2 linked regions of the Astyanax mexicanus genome follow. The protein of the gene in region 2 interacts with the protein of the main gene of each other region in a pairwise test. Links are inferred from orthologs where the notes say so. Each region holds a gene or a part of one and is shown on either strand. Other genes may lie near its edges.

Region 1 (7,900 bases), on a different chromosome or scaffold from region 2:
AAAAAAGACAATAAAAATGGCTAACTCTTACTATTTTAATAGTAAGTAAGTGAGATATTCTTGTATATAGACAGCCACAAGATAAGATAAGAAGTTTAAATCTCTTTTCATATCCGAACAAAACCTCTAATTGCAACTGATATATCCCTAAATCAATCAATATAAAATTCAAAAATTGGAAACTTAATTAAATTAAGACTTTCTGAATCAGAATCCAATCAGGAAATCAGTGAAAATATCCAGCCCAATTGTATAGTACATGTCACATTCTATTCCATTTAAGAGCCAGGTGGACTCAGACTTTGGCAGATTGCTATTTCAGGGGCACAGCTACTGTACCTGAACGTGTCTATCAGCAGCTTCTCAACAGAGGAAACTGACCTGCTCTTCACAATAATTTTTTTTATTGTTTATTTATTGTAGAGTTTGCATAGCTGCCAACAGGCATGCACTATGGGTTTGTGCACTGCAGCTTATCTTTTTGTGTGTAACAAACAAGGAGCGCCTGTTGGCATCTGCCTGGGTTGTATTCAGTCAGTAGCGCACCTGCATTTTCCATTGCCAAAATAGCAATACACCAGAAATTTACCTTAATACACCTTATTTCTAGGTCAACACGCCTCGCAACGTGCTTTGCTTAGGGTGTAAGATAGTGCCCTATGTTTAGTTTAAGGTTGTTTCTCATTCTGTGGGCCATGAAGAACTCTCTAGTGGTCCACAGGCCCATTCTCAGAGAGAGGCAGTAGTTCATAATGTGATCTTATCAGGATTTTACAGGATCTTCTACACTGAGTAAAAAAAAAAAAAAAAAAAAAAAAAACACCTATAATGCTTTACCAATGAACACATAATGTCTTTCACACTGAGTACGAAACTGATGGACTGCAATGCTTTGATTCTATATAAAGAGCAGCACAGTGATTATTAAAATGCAAAGATTAAAGAAAACATATGACAGAGCAGAGCTGAAAGGCCACAAATAACTGCGAACTGTAGCTTCCCTCACTAATGATCAATAGTGTGGAGGTGTGAAATGAAAAAGAACAGAAAAAACAGACAATAAGGCCTTTAAGTGTCTAACCCTGTTTAACAGAGTACAGAAATAAAAAAATGTCTCAGACAGTGTGAGGGTTCCACTATGTAAAAAATCGTATATATGTTTGTACAGTACAAGTAAAAAATCATCCGTGTTATTTTGATTAACTTTGAATGAACATCCTTAGAAACTCACAAATTAACTTAAATTAAACATCATCAGTTTCAGAAAACATGGCCATTGCCACCTGATGCAATCATCTACCCAAGCTAATCAGAAATGGAGAAGTTTTTTGGACCATGATTCTTGAATTGTTAGTGTTAGCACTTGAGAAATAAATATTATTTTTTCTTTTGGACCGTTATTTTTGCTAGGTTGAGAACCCATGATTTAGTCCAAATCAATGGGGACATTTTGAAGCACACAACTAATGTTGCTGCTCACTTAGGATGTTTTCAAACCAGCACTTTTTAGTCTGGTTAAAACAGGATCTGGTTCATTTGAACCGTTAGGGCAGTTCGATTGAGCAGGTGTGGATCAAGACAACTGGACCAGCTAATGGAGGTGATCTGGGTCTGGTGGTTTGCTTAGGGTAGGAGCGTGATCCGGTCTCGATCCGACCGAGATATCAAATATACTCCTTTTATTTAAGCTAAACTGCTGATGCTTTTTAATGATATCTTTTACCATTGCAAAAAAAAATATTTCTACTTAACTGGAAAAAACAGAACAAAAAATTATATAAATCACGGCTTACAGATCATTGTTACCTGGGGAGAAGGACTGCAAATTTAGAAACGCTAATTACCACAGCTATAAACAAATGCTGTCTCTACTGCTCCATGCTGTTTTCACTCTGTCTGTGCAGCGTTCACTGCGTTTACTACGTGTACATGTACACTGCATGTCCCATTGAAAACATTGTGTTCAAAAGCGACGGCAAATTTAAAACTATTAAAAAAAAAACACTTTTTGTTCCCTAAAGAAGCTTTCTGTTGAGTGTCCTTAACTCTATATGATTGGGTTTGTTGAGTTGTCAGTGTTAGCACTTGAGAAATAAATCATTTTGATTCATTGTGGACCATTACTGACTCCAGTTATTAACAGATAAGGTGTTTGGCCAAATCATTGGGGGAATATTGAAGCACACAATAAGTGGTGCTCCAGTGTTCCATCTCAGACATATCACTTTTCTGCACACTAAACACTCCAGTATTGTCCAGAGTAGACAGATTTAGTGTTTACCCATTGCTTTAACTGTGAATATTGAAGTCTAGCATTATAAAGCACTTTATGCAATGGGTACAACTGAACTGAAAGCTCTTTAGCTCAAACTGTGCAACATATTTAAGTTAAATAAATAAGTTATTTAAAAGTATTTAAGGTAACCAAATGTATTATACAGTTTTTAATAAGTTCTTGAGATGAGAAACCATATACCAACCATTTCTCACAAGACCGTTGTGAGAAATGTATAATTTTTTTTATTTTCTTTTGTATAATTATAATTGCATTAAAAATGAAATGTGGCACTTTAAATAAAATAACTCCCAAAAGCACAAAAACAGTGACGTGAACAGAAAATGAAGATAAGGTTCTCCTCAATTATCAAGAGTGTCTTGAATACTCTAATCAGAAAACATTCTACAGTACACAGAACTGACCAAACCAGCTACAAGACACTTTTCTAGTACATGAAGAGTCATTTAACCAGTCAACAAATTAATTAATTAAAGCATGCATTCAATTGCCATGGTTCTATCAGCTCTTAAATCATTTGGTTTGCTTAAGTGTGCAAGAAGTTCTCCATCCCAAAGAAAAACCCTTTCTTTAACCAAGCCAAGACCAAGCCAAGTTTATTGAGTCTGCTGTAACATGTTTAACATTATCGACAGTCATATATCAATCCAGCCTGACAGTGCAACATCTGAACATCTAGATCATCTAACCTCCTCCAACGTTCTCCTGCAAAGTTCACACTGATCTGAACTGGTCTTACCTTCCCAAACCTCTGCTGCTGCAGATACAGCAAGCCCTGTTTTCGGATGTCCTCCTCCATGTCTGTGTTTCTCTGCGTTCTCTCTGAAGCAACTCCAGCCTGTAGCTTCCTTCATCTGCTATAACACCTCTTTCCTCTTGTGTTTGCGTGTGACGTACGCAACCGCTCCAAGTTCCGCCATTTCTACATCCTGTATCACCCAGCGCTTCTGCTGAGCAATGCGTACACACGTACAGAGTGTGTGTGTGTACTTGTTTTCCTGTATTTTGAAGACATACATGTGATGTTACTATGGTTTAAATGTTCGTCTTGTGTAGTAAATTGGTTTGGGGAGAGTTTATGTAATTTTAGCTGATTTCTAATTATTTTGATGGAATTTAAAATCTAAAAGACTAACCTGCATCTACTTTTTTTGCATCATCCTTCTCTTTGAAGGCCTCACTCACTTCAACAGTCGAAAGAGCACACCAAACCCTAAATGTGTGATAAATGGTTTTATATATGGTTTAGATACAACAGGCTCCTCCAGTATCTTTTTAAACTCTCATAATCATCAGATTTAACAGCTTTAATTCTGCTTTATAACAGTAGAATGTAGTTTATTGGAGTTCATTATCCACACAGAACTATATTGAGGAACTAAACACTGAACTTTGAAACTGATGTTTGGGCAATGTTTATGAGTTTGGACAGACACACAGTTGTTTTTCATACATATCAGGAAGTGAAGTCATAAACATATGACTATGGTTTTAATTTTGAAATAAAGTTAGCTAATTACAACATAAATTACAAAAACTAAAAAACAGCTGCTTTTGTAGGCAATAGGACAGCATATAATCATATTCAAATTAATAAAAATATTAATTTACAATAAGGGACTCAATTAACAGTACTTATCACAGTAATAAAATATTGTTAAATGGTTAAACACAGTAGTGTCTGTTAATAATTAGGTAAGGCATTCTGCATTTTGTAATTACTGTTATTTAATTTAACGTTAATTGTGAAGTGTTACCAATAACCCTAAATATCAGTTCTAAGGCTGTCAGATCTCCCTGACTTCACCGATCACAAGATGCTACGGCATTCCCAGTCTCCATGCTACTAATTGGCTCCACCTGTCTTTTCTAGTATATATACCCCTCTGTTATTGCTGAGTATTGAATCTAGTTTTCCTAGCTCTTCTACGACGCATTCTGTTGTTTTTGTCTATTTGTTACCAATCCCTTTTTGTATCTCCATTTACTTTCTTTGGCCTTGCCCAATCTATTCAGTATCTGTTGCCTGTCCCTCACTACTCTTGTAAGCCTAGTCCCTTTTGTAATAAACTCATTTTCATTTTGATCTGCGAGTCTCTGTCCTTAGTGATACTAAACAGTAACGCTACATCTTTGTAAAGGAACCCCTGATTATAACTTTGATTCTTTTTATTCAGGAAAATGCTGTTAATTTTTTTTTTTACTTTTTTTTTTTTTTACTTTTTTTTACTTTTTAATTTAACTTTTTTCTTAGTGAGACATGTTTTATCCCAATTCTCAAGAATCACTGATTATTATTCTTCATGAATCCCACAACGTTTGCTCATCTCCTGTCTTCAAACTTCAGTCACTTTGGATAATTTATTTTTGTGAATTTAGTGATTGTTATTTATGTTTGTTCTGTATGGGCACAGTATTATCTGTAACTTTGTTAAATGTTTTATTTTCTGCTGCTTTTGACCACAATGCTGCACAGCAATCTAGATTAAATAGTACTAAGAATTACATTACTATTTGTAATGTTTTCTGTGTCGGTGTGTCTTTGGTATTGCATTGGGCGGCTGGAAATGCGCAAAAGGCCTGTATTAATTCTCTTAATTAACCATGGGTGTGTTTTGGGCGTAACGTGAAATAAACCAATCAGTGTGCCAGTAGTCATTCCCTTTAAGAGACAGATGCGCTTTGACTTTGGTGCGTTGATATCTTAACAGCACTGCGCTGCACTTTTTCCTCAGACGAGGAAACTGACCTGGGTGCTCAGACTGTACGATAGGGCCCCAAATCTTTTCCATTTTTTGTTACAACGGTCTTAATTTGTTTTCTCATTTATTGTCTATTATGCCAATTTATGCTAATGTATTATCTATTATGCCTATCTAATGTCTATTACAACACCCAATAGATTCTTCATCTATATTTAACATGAACTCACATTAGGTAGTTCCCCAAATGATTGACACCCAATTATAATAGTTTTTGTTTTTGGTATATTTAGCACTCTTTGAATGTCACTGATCCATTTGGTACTAACTTTAGTTCTTCCTTTAAACTATTAACTGCATCAGATGATGCATTTAGAGAAGTATCATCTGCGTACATCTGCAGCCTGTCTTTATTCAACATTATCAGCGGGTCATTGTATACGTATATGTAAATTAAGATGCATAATGGGCTGAGATAAGCTAGCTCCAACTAGCTTTCTTTCTTCTGATTCTTTTAACCAGTCATCATTCATTTGAATACATGCAGTGCTTTTTGATTGTCCTCTCCTACAGTATGCAATATAGATTATATAAATAGATTGACTGAAAGCAAACTTACAGATATATTATTTGGTCCATTTAAGGCACATTTGCTGTCTTTAGGTAGTGGGATCACTTTTTGCTTCGTTCTGCAGTAATGGGTATATACACTTCTCTATACTTAGTTGAAAAACATAGCAAACTGGTTTAGTTTAGTGTTTTACAGCAACTTTTTACATTTTCCCATCTAAATTGTCATCAATTCCATATGTTCTTTCATTTTGTATCATTCTTATAAGCTTTTTAACCTTTTCCTCACTTACATGTCATTTTGTTTTTCTTCTTTTCTTCTTTTTGTAGAATTTACAGTTCCTAACTTTCATAATTGTTTTTTTTTTATTCTGTTGAGAAGTCTATTGCTATCTTACACACTGTCAACAGCTTACTTTCACTACTTACATCTGTGTCGTTTAAGTAGCAACAGTGCTTGTGAATATATGTATATTGCTATCTTGGCGACTCTACCTCACTTTTTTTTTTTTTTTTTTTTTAAATTTGCAGTTTCTCTCGTTCATAATACGTTTCTTTATTTCTTTATTCTGTTAAGATGCTCATTCTTATCTTACACCCCGTCAGCAGATTAATTTGTACGTCTTGTGTCTACTCCATTTAAATAGCAACAAAGCTTGTGAATATATTTACACTAACGGGTGTGTGTTAAGCTAAATTTCTGAGCTATTGCTATATTGGCAATAGAAAACAAAGGTGCAACACTAATTGATTTGAACCCTGACAACGATCAACCATCAGATGTTCATTACTATCTTGGCAATGCAGCTTTCTGACCTTGTTCTTACCTACATGTTTTCATTACCAGTTTTCATATATGGTTTCTTTATTCTGTTAAAATGCTCTATTTTCATGCCTTGCATCTGCATTGTTAAAATAGCAACAGAGTTTACAAATATATCTGCGTTGAGTAGGCGTAGTGTGGAAGTGAAGTGCGTTCGGGTAAATTTCTAATGTATTGCTCGTGTATTGCTAACTTGGCAATGGAAAACACAGGTGCGCCACTAATTTATTTGAACCCTGACAACAGTCAACTGTCAGATGTTCATGCTTTCTTCCCCATCTTTTAACCTCTTCCTCAATTACATGTCTGTTTCTGTTTTTTGACAAATTTACAGTTTCTCTCTTTCATAATTAGTTTATTTATTCTGTTGAAATGCTCATCGCTATCCTACACACCATCACCAGTTTATTTTTACGGACAGAATTAAGAATAATGTAACATTGCTGTCCCCGTAAATGTCCTGCTCGCACACCTTCACAGCGTGAACATGCAGGTCAGTTTTTACTCTGCTGAGAACTGCAGAAGCTCTGCGCCTTTAAAATACCAATTCACCAAAGTCAGAGCATACCTGGCTCTTAAAGGGAATAGTAAGTAACACACTGACTGGTTTATTGCACATTACACCCAAAACACACCCGTGATTACTTAAGAGAATCAGTACATGTCTTCTGCGTGTTTCCAGCCACGCAAGCTGTACTTTTCCCGTTGTTACGATAGCAAAGACACAATGACGCACTCTAAACCAAGCTTACGGATCGCTAAAATAGGTCACTGAATGTATATTGTGCCCCTCTGTTGTGCATACTGACTGTTATTTAATTGTTCCTGCTTGGTTAAAACTTGTGTAGTGGTCAGACGGCTATATCTGTTTCAGCCAAGTTCTATTTTTGTATCTGAGGTGTGAGCAGGCTGTTTCTGTGGTCAGCTGCAGATCTCACTTCCTCTTCTTTAACGTGAAGTTTCCATCATGACACAAATTCACACTGGTACAGACACAGCAGTGTACCAGTGAGACACGTAGGAAGAAATTAGCAGTGTTGGACAGTACGGAATTAATGTGTTACTGTACTACAGTAGTTGTTTTACTAATATATACAGAGGTGGAAAAAGTACTGAACAATTGTAATTAAGTAAAAGTACCTTTACTTTGCTAAGATTCTACTCAAGTAAAAGTACCCATCTAAAAATCTACTCGAGTAAAAGTAAAAAAGTACTCAATTTTAAATGTACTTTGAGTAAAAGTTACATAGTTAGTAAAAACAAATCATAAATTAAATTATTTTTAATGAACTATTATTCCACATAATAATTTGGACTTTTCAGGCAGTATTTGTTCAGACCACCCCATAAAACATTTTCAATAACAAGTGCTATAGGTTTCTATGATCCATTTTTTTCTTTACTGTTAAAAAGTTATGGTCATAAAGGTGACTATAAACTGTATTTTTATAGTTTTACAGTTCATTGTTATTTTTTTAATTGCCATTGCTATGCTTTAACTCCTATTTA
Region 2 (7,252 bases):
TAATTGTTAATAACAAGTCTAATCACACTGATCAACCAGCATAACCAAATAGTTGTGTGCCATATTGTATCGTACGCAATAATATCACCAACATTTTTGAATATTGCAAACAATATTATGCCCTGAAATATTGTGCCATATCACTCCTATTGATCACATCAGGGTACAACTTTTTTTGCTGTTTGTAGCAAAATAAAAAAATCACGCTTCTTGCGTTTTCCATTATATATCTACAAGAAACAGACTATATCTGTCTAGTATAATTAATTTTTCATTTAGTCCTGGATTTATGTAGTATCATAATATTCTGGATCATTGACTTCTGTTACAAATCTGATACAATTCTTGTATTTTTTAATATCTCAGTTAAGGGTGTGCCATATCACACTGTACGCAATAATAAAATTATTTTTTTATTTTGTTGCATTAGTGTATTTGTTTTTTTATTCAGCTTTTTGTCATATCTCCAAGAGTATCGTTTCATGAAAATGCCATATCGTGACTATCGAATAATATAACTATTGTGATATTATTTTAGGGCCATATCGCCCACCCCTATAACCAAATATAATGAAAATCAAATGCAGCATACTATATGCTGGTTAAGAGCTGGTTAACCAGCTAGATTTCCAGCAAAGTGTATGTTTCATCTGGACGAACAGCTTTTCAACTACCTTGAGCTTCCAAAAGTAGCTAGTCCTGAGCTGGATATTCCCGCAGTGTCATGGTATGACTATGTTAGCCTGCTCAGAACATCTCAATCTGTTAGTTAATATTGCTATCCCCTTACACTACACAAACTGGGTGTAAACATTGTGTATGCGAATAAGTGAAGACATCTTCCACGTTTTATTGTGGGTGATTAATAAAATAAAGATCTGCATCACCTCTTTCATGTAGTTTACATAAATGGATTCTGCTGTTTCCAAGAATCCTTGAGCTTTCTCAGTTTCATCTCTTCCAGCCCACAAGATCCCAAGCTGGTTCTGTTGAGGAAAGACAAAGAGTCAGGTTACACATAGGCCTGTCACAATAATTCTAGGTATTAACTTTTTAAACAATATATTTGCTTTGAAATATACATTTACTTAGAGAGGAGAGCTGATATGGGCCATACTATGGTATTTTATCATACTGTGAAAAATCATATCAGAAATATCATCAATGCTTAAAGGTCACCTTCCGTCGTTTTTTCTTTCATTTTAAAATGTCTAGTTGTGGTCTCTAGTATGAATGAATGACATGTGAGCCGTTTTTGTAAAAAAAAAGTGCTCAGGTGTCTCTGTATAGCTCTTTTTTAAAGGACTGTTTTAGGGGTGTGTCCAAAATGACCGGATTCCAGCTTTGCTCATGAATATTCATACATGCAAACAGCATGCAAATATCTCTCCTCTGATTGGCTAGGAGCACTGCGACGCCCCTCCACCGCTCTGCCGCTCACTGCCTCCCACCTCCTAACTGATGAGCGGTGATGTTGCGTCGCTTCAGCTCCGCCTCTGGGAGTTTCTCGAGCCAAGGTGGGCTGGTCTGTGAGTTTCTGCCTACGTAGGCAGAAAGATAATTCAAAATTCACCCGTTTTTCGGAGGGGGGGAGGGGGGACTTCTTTGCTTAGCTCCTGCAGACAATGGGGGCTGCAAAACAGTTTAATGTGCAGGTGTACACATTCAACTCGGAGAGACCTACTGTATTCCACAAAAAACAAGAAAAATCGGATTTTCGCGGAAGGTGACCTTTAAAGAACACTGACCCAACTATATAAGAGAGTGTAATTGGGTAGCAGTTTGTAAGGAATTTGCTACTGCATTGCAATTAGGGATGCATCAATACTGATACTGGTATCAGAATAGAAAAGCATACTTTCTTCATTTCTTTAAAAAATGCTAATGTATATAATGTGACTCAAAATATATCTCAAAATTAACAAATGAACTGTTGCATTGCACTACTTTACACTAAAACCTACACAGTTAAATAATGCTCCTGGTATGGGCGAATACACAAATACATGAACTCGTACTCTTACGCAGTTGGGAAAAAAAAGTATTGATGCATCCCTGATTGCAATAAATATTGTGCACTGTGAAAATGTCTTTAAACACTGTGATACAATAGTTTTACAGTATCACCTAGTTTTAGAGCAGAGTCACAAAAAAGTGGGATTTTTTTTTCATTTATTTAAGATATTAAAAATGGCTGAGGAATATTGTCAAAATATTGCATCAAAAAATCTTTATAATACATGGTCTTAATTGCAATATTTTTACATCACACATAGATAGAAAACATGCATCAGTAGTGATAGTCTGAACAACAACTGTTGGTAAAATAATCTCATTTAGTACACATTTAGTTCAGTGATTTGTGTTCAGAATGTGCTGCTGTACTCCATCCAGTTACATTATTTGTAATAAAATGTGTAGCATATTTTTCTTAGACTGACATTATACAGAATATGCTCAGAAATGTAACTACAAATCATGTGCATCATGATAATAACACCTTAGTGATATTTCTGTGATATATTCGGGATGTATGAGTGATGAATTTGTGTACACTGTGTTTTTACCCTGGCCTGGATGAACAGAGAGACGTTCTCCGGGGTCACTGTGCATTTCTCCAGCAGCTTCATGCAGTTCATCAGATGCTCCTCACCGGCTGAGAGCTCCTCGGTCTCGGTGTGGTTCACGCCCAGGTAGTACTCGATGACCGCGAGCTTGGCGGCTCTGAGGCCGGCCCGCGAGTCTCCCGGCACGGATCTCCCGGCTCCACACTCCGCCTCCTCGGAGCCGCTCTGCTCGCCCTGCCCGTCCGCCTCGCCGTCGCTCTCCTCCGCCTCCACGCTCTTCAGCGCGCAGTAAATGTCTTTTAACAGCTCCCGGGCTTCGTATTTGGAGCGGAACGGGTCGTTCTCCGGATCTTTTCTGGACTCCACCTCGGAAAGGTGGTTCGCCCGCCCGAATTTCTCGCACACCGCCCTCCATTCACGACTGCTGGTGGACGCCATGTTTGTTTTCTGAGGAGAAGAAGCAGAGCCTCTCCCTTCAGTTCAGCTCAGCGATCCCACCAGCAGAGGCCAGCAGCGGCCAGAGCCGCTGGATTTCAGCTTAGTATACACAGTGCCTCAACACAGCCCCTAAAGTGACATCAAGTAAAAAAAAAAAAAAAAAAAAAGCCTGGCCACGACTTATTAACGCGTGGGAACGAGATAATTAATAGTGGGACGGCTTATATGTTCCCACGCTTTAATAAGCAGCCCCCACAACTTAATTATCTTTGAGCCCCTAGGGTGACATCACAAAAAAATATGCAGCCACAACCTAACCCTTTCAGGCTTAAATTATTATGTTTCAATAATGGAAACATATAACAATGCTCTTTTCTGTCTGTAATATATGGAGCCACTAAGGTGACATCATTTAAAAAAAATAATGCATGGCCATACTTTATTAAGGCGTGGGAACAAGATCCTTAGGCGTGGGAACAAGATCCTAATGCATGGGAATGAGATAATTAAGGTGTTGGGGCAGCTTATATGTTCCCACGTTTTAATAAGTCGCCCCCACAACTTAATTATCTCTGAGCCCCTAAGGTGACATCATGTAAAAAATAAAAATAATGCGTGGCCACACTTTAATAAGGCGTGGGAACAAGATCCTAAGGCCTTTATTTCCATAGGCATTTATTTACAGAAAAGTAAGCTTTATTACTCTCCAGCTAGATTTAATTAACTTGTTCCTACGCCTTAATAAGTCGTGGCCACACCTTAATGACCTCATTCCCACGCCTTAATTATCTTGTTCCCACGCATTAGGATCTCGTTCCCATGCCTTAATAAGTCGTGGCTGCTAAAATTTTTTTTTTTTTAGCATGATGTCACCTTAGGGGCTCTGTAGTACTAATAAGTTGCCCCACAACTTAATTTTCTCATTTCCACGTTTTAATAAGTCACCCTATGACTTAATTATTATATCTTGTATCCATGCCTTAATAAGTCATCCCCATGCATTTTTTTTACATAATGTCACCTTAAGGGCTCTATACCCAGCAAATTTCTTATGTTGGTTCCCCCTCTCATCCACCCACACTTTTTATTAATGGAATTCATTATCTTGATTTAAAAATGCTTGAACAAATCCATGGGGTCCACTTTAACAAACCCACTTAATTTTATAGAAATAATATCATGCTTTTGTTTGATCTGCAAGAAGCATCCAAACTGAGAACTAAATTCAATAAATAACCCAAATACAACCCCAAAACAAAAGAAATTCACAATAAAATAATGAATAAAACTTTTATAAAAGTATGGGTCTTATCTTACACTCTGTGCTAGTTGCATCACAATGCTCATTGCTATCTTGCACTATGCCAACAGTCAATTTTTACACCTTCCACCTGTGTGGTTTAAATTGTGCCCGTGCTTGCAAATAGATCTTTAAATTGAAGTGTGTTCAGGTAAATTTATGTTTATATGCTCAGCTGTAGTGGAAAGTGACTGCACAATCAGTAGACACGCATCAGTACATGCAGTGTTCACACAAGCGTCAAGTACAGTAGATCTCAGGTCTTACCAGAAGCCACTGAATTTACGCTTCTGAATGGCGGGTATTTCTGTACTCTATCTTCCTTCAGAAGTAAAAATAATTTCCTGTCTGAAAAAGTTCTGTGCTGTAAAAGGCAAATCATCACACCATTTAAAACGCTCAATAATTAGCTCTAAATAATAATAATAAGACTCTTTCCTTCATATTTGTATATTTTTAAGCACATCTTTCACAATACTTTGGTGTACTTGCACATTGGAGCTACCACCTATCATCTACTTCTCTCTATCATCTACTTCTATCTATCTATCTATCTATCTATCTATCTATCTATCTATCTATCTATATATATATATATATATATATATATATATATATATATATATATGATGCACCAGACAAGCCACAAATTGACTGAAGTGCATCAGCACCTGTCTTAAAATAAACACCCACATCCTCTCACGTCATCAGTGCTATGGGGGCATGTTTGACAACCATAAGTGCACAAGAGCATTATTAACTACTTAGTCTGTTGGGTTAGTAATGTATTATTTGCCAAAAGGTCAGAATTTCACTTTTTTTTCTTTTCTTTCAGTAGTTTTACGCAAAGTACTGTTTATCGGCTAAATTTAAAGTCAGGTTTAAAAATAGTGTAAACTTCAGTGTGAACTTTATTATTTATTTTTTCCCATTTGGTAAGGTGAAGAAATGGACTTTCATCCATTTTTACATTTTTCTATTTTTGCATAATAAGAATGTCAGGGAATATTCAGATGTTTCCATTTTTGCATCTTGTAAAAATCTAATGGTATAATTCAATCTATTTTTTTAAGCAGACATGAAAAACGAGACAATTGGACAAAATGTTTTTTCTTCACTATGCAGTTGTCTACACACCACATGCTTCTGTTTCGGACACAGTGTCTCATGTTGCCTCACACTGATATTCAACTTTAAAATAAACCGTGGATGAACCATGCCGCACTCATTAACAGTTAAACTATCCAGGGTTCTAGAGGACAACTGAAGAACATAACTCTTTCTCTCATTTTAATAAATGTATAATAAAAGCAAAATAAATTAATACTGTAATTGAATATTTTAATCAATCTGAACAACGGTTTGTGCTGATTATAAAAATATAATGAAATTTTAGTGTTGACTAAGTGCTTGGGTCAGAAACGCTGTGGGAGAGGGGTAATGGGCTCATTTACACAGTTTACACTCCATTTGGTTTGTGTCTCTAAATGTCCAAACACAAGAGATTACATATTTACTCACAAAATTTCAGCACTTCACTTTTAATCATTTTCTGGATATTTAACAGACTTTTAAATCCTACATTCAGGGATTAACAGAATGGCAGAAATTATTGTTGTCTAATCCACTAATGAAAAACATAATCATCAGATTTGTCGACCACCAAAATAGTCATTTATTGCAGCTCTTTATCTAATGTAGGCTTTTCTGTTTTGTAGGATTTTTCAGATACAGAAAATGACTAAGGTATCCTATGAAAACTTTGTAGTGTATTGAAGGGTGTGATTGGAGATAACCACACCTTCACACTCTTATTCTTAAATGTTTTATACATGTATATATACAGTTATTATTTTTACTGTTCACTTTATAATTCACTTAATAACCTTATGATCTCTGCTCTCTTTTTAACTGTCACTATGACAAGGCTTTGGAGGTTGTTTTTACTTTTTCAGGAATCAGGAAGGTCAGAGTGTTTTCATCAACAATGAGAGCTGTGAGGAGAACGTGACCCTGAGTGGCAGAGAAGCTTCACTACTGTTCTGGGACCAGTGCATATGAACTAGGAGACAACAAGCTATCTGAGTGAAGTGCTGAGGACCTCTCCTCAGATAGCCAGCGCTTGCCTGTTCTACACGCCGTAAAGTCGTACACAGGGCAGAAGATCTTTCCATCCACTCTTTTCCTCTGTTTCATCTTCTCACAGACTTTAGGACACTTAAGGACTGTCTGCTGTGTTCATGAAGGACACAGTGCTGAACAACATCATGATAAGAACCTGTTGCTCAGACAGGCTGGAGCGGATCACGTCATTAAAACTGGACAACATGCTGTTAACTGGACTCTGCTGACACAATCATAGTGATAAGTTCTGTCCAATCACATGTCATTTGCAAAATGTATAACTGCTTGGATGAAGTCTGAGGAGTTCTCTCTGGCCCTCGACTGGCTTTAGTTTCTTTCTCTTTCTTTCTCTCTCTCTCTCTCTTTCTTTCTCTCTCTCTCACTTTCTTTCTCTCTCTCTCTTTCTCTCTCTGGGTTGCGAATGTGTTGATCTATCGAGATTTTATTCGTTGATGTACTTTTACTCTTTTCTAATATATATCTTTTAATTTTTGTTCCTTTTATATATCTGTAATGCTGAAACTATTTTTCAAGTAAACTTTAATATATTTTAAATTCTAAGCTCTGACTCATTGGTCATCATTTCATGTTCTGAGATTTCTCACATCCGAGTTTTATCTAAGTCATACTGTGGTAAATTACCCTACAGTATAAGTTAAGATATGCAAAATATTCGGCCATTACATTGTTACCACCTTGCTAATGTTAGTAGGTCCCTCATGTGTCACCACATTAAATTTAGACATTTGTGTCATGGTCTCACAGTCAAGTTGTTTGAAGGTTTATTTTGTTGTTTTTTGTATCTGTCACCAAGACATTATTG

The links.
Region 1: the proteins of kifbp (region 2) and dok2 interact in a two-hybrid assay, tested with the Homo sapiens proteins (2 studies listed by BioGRID and IntAct). The two-hybrid records come from large-scale screens. The link is inferred for Astyanax mexicanus from reciprocal best matches to the Homo sapiens genes KIFBP and DOK2.

The regions. Positions count from the first base shown.
Region 1 is NC_064419.1:32,359,708-32,367,607, reverse strand, and holds the start of dok2 (docking protein 2), read right to left. Parts: upstream 3,175-7,900; 5' UTR 3,096-3,174; coding exon 3,036-3,095; intron 1-3,035. UniProt on the Homo sapiens protein: DOK proteins are enzymatically inert adaptor or scaffolding proteins. They provide a docking platform for the assembly of multimolecular signaling complexes. DOK2 may modulate the cellular proliferation induced by IL-4, as well as IL-2 and IL-3.
Region 2 is NC_064414.1:42,927,125-42,934,376, forward strand, and holds the start of kifbp (KIF-binding protein), read right to left. Parts: upstream 3,080-7,252; 5' UTR 3,006-3,079; coding exon 2,568-3,005; intron 987-2,567; coding exon 888-986; intron 1-887. UniProt on the Homo sapiens protein: Activator of KIF1B plus-end-directed microtubule motor activity. Required for organization of axonal microtubules, and axonal outgrowth and maintenance during peripheral and central nervous system development.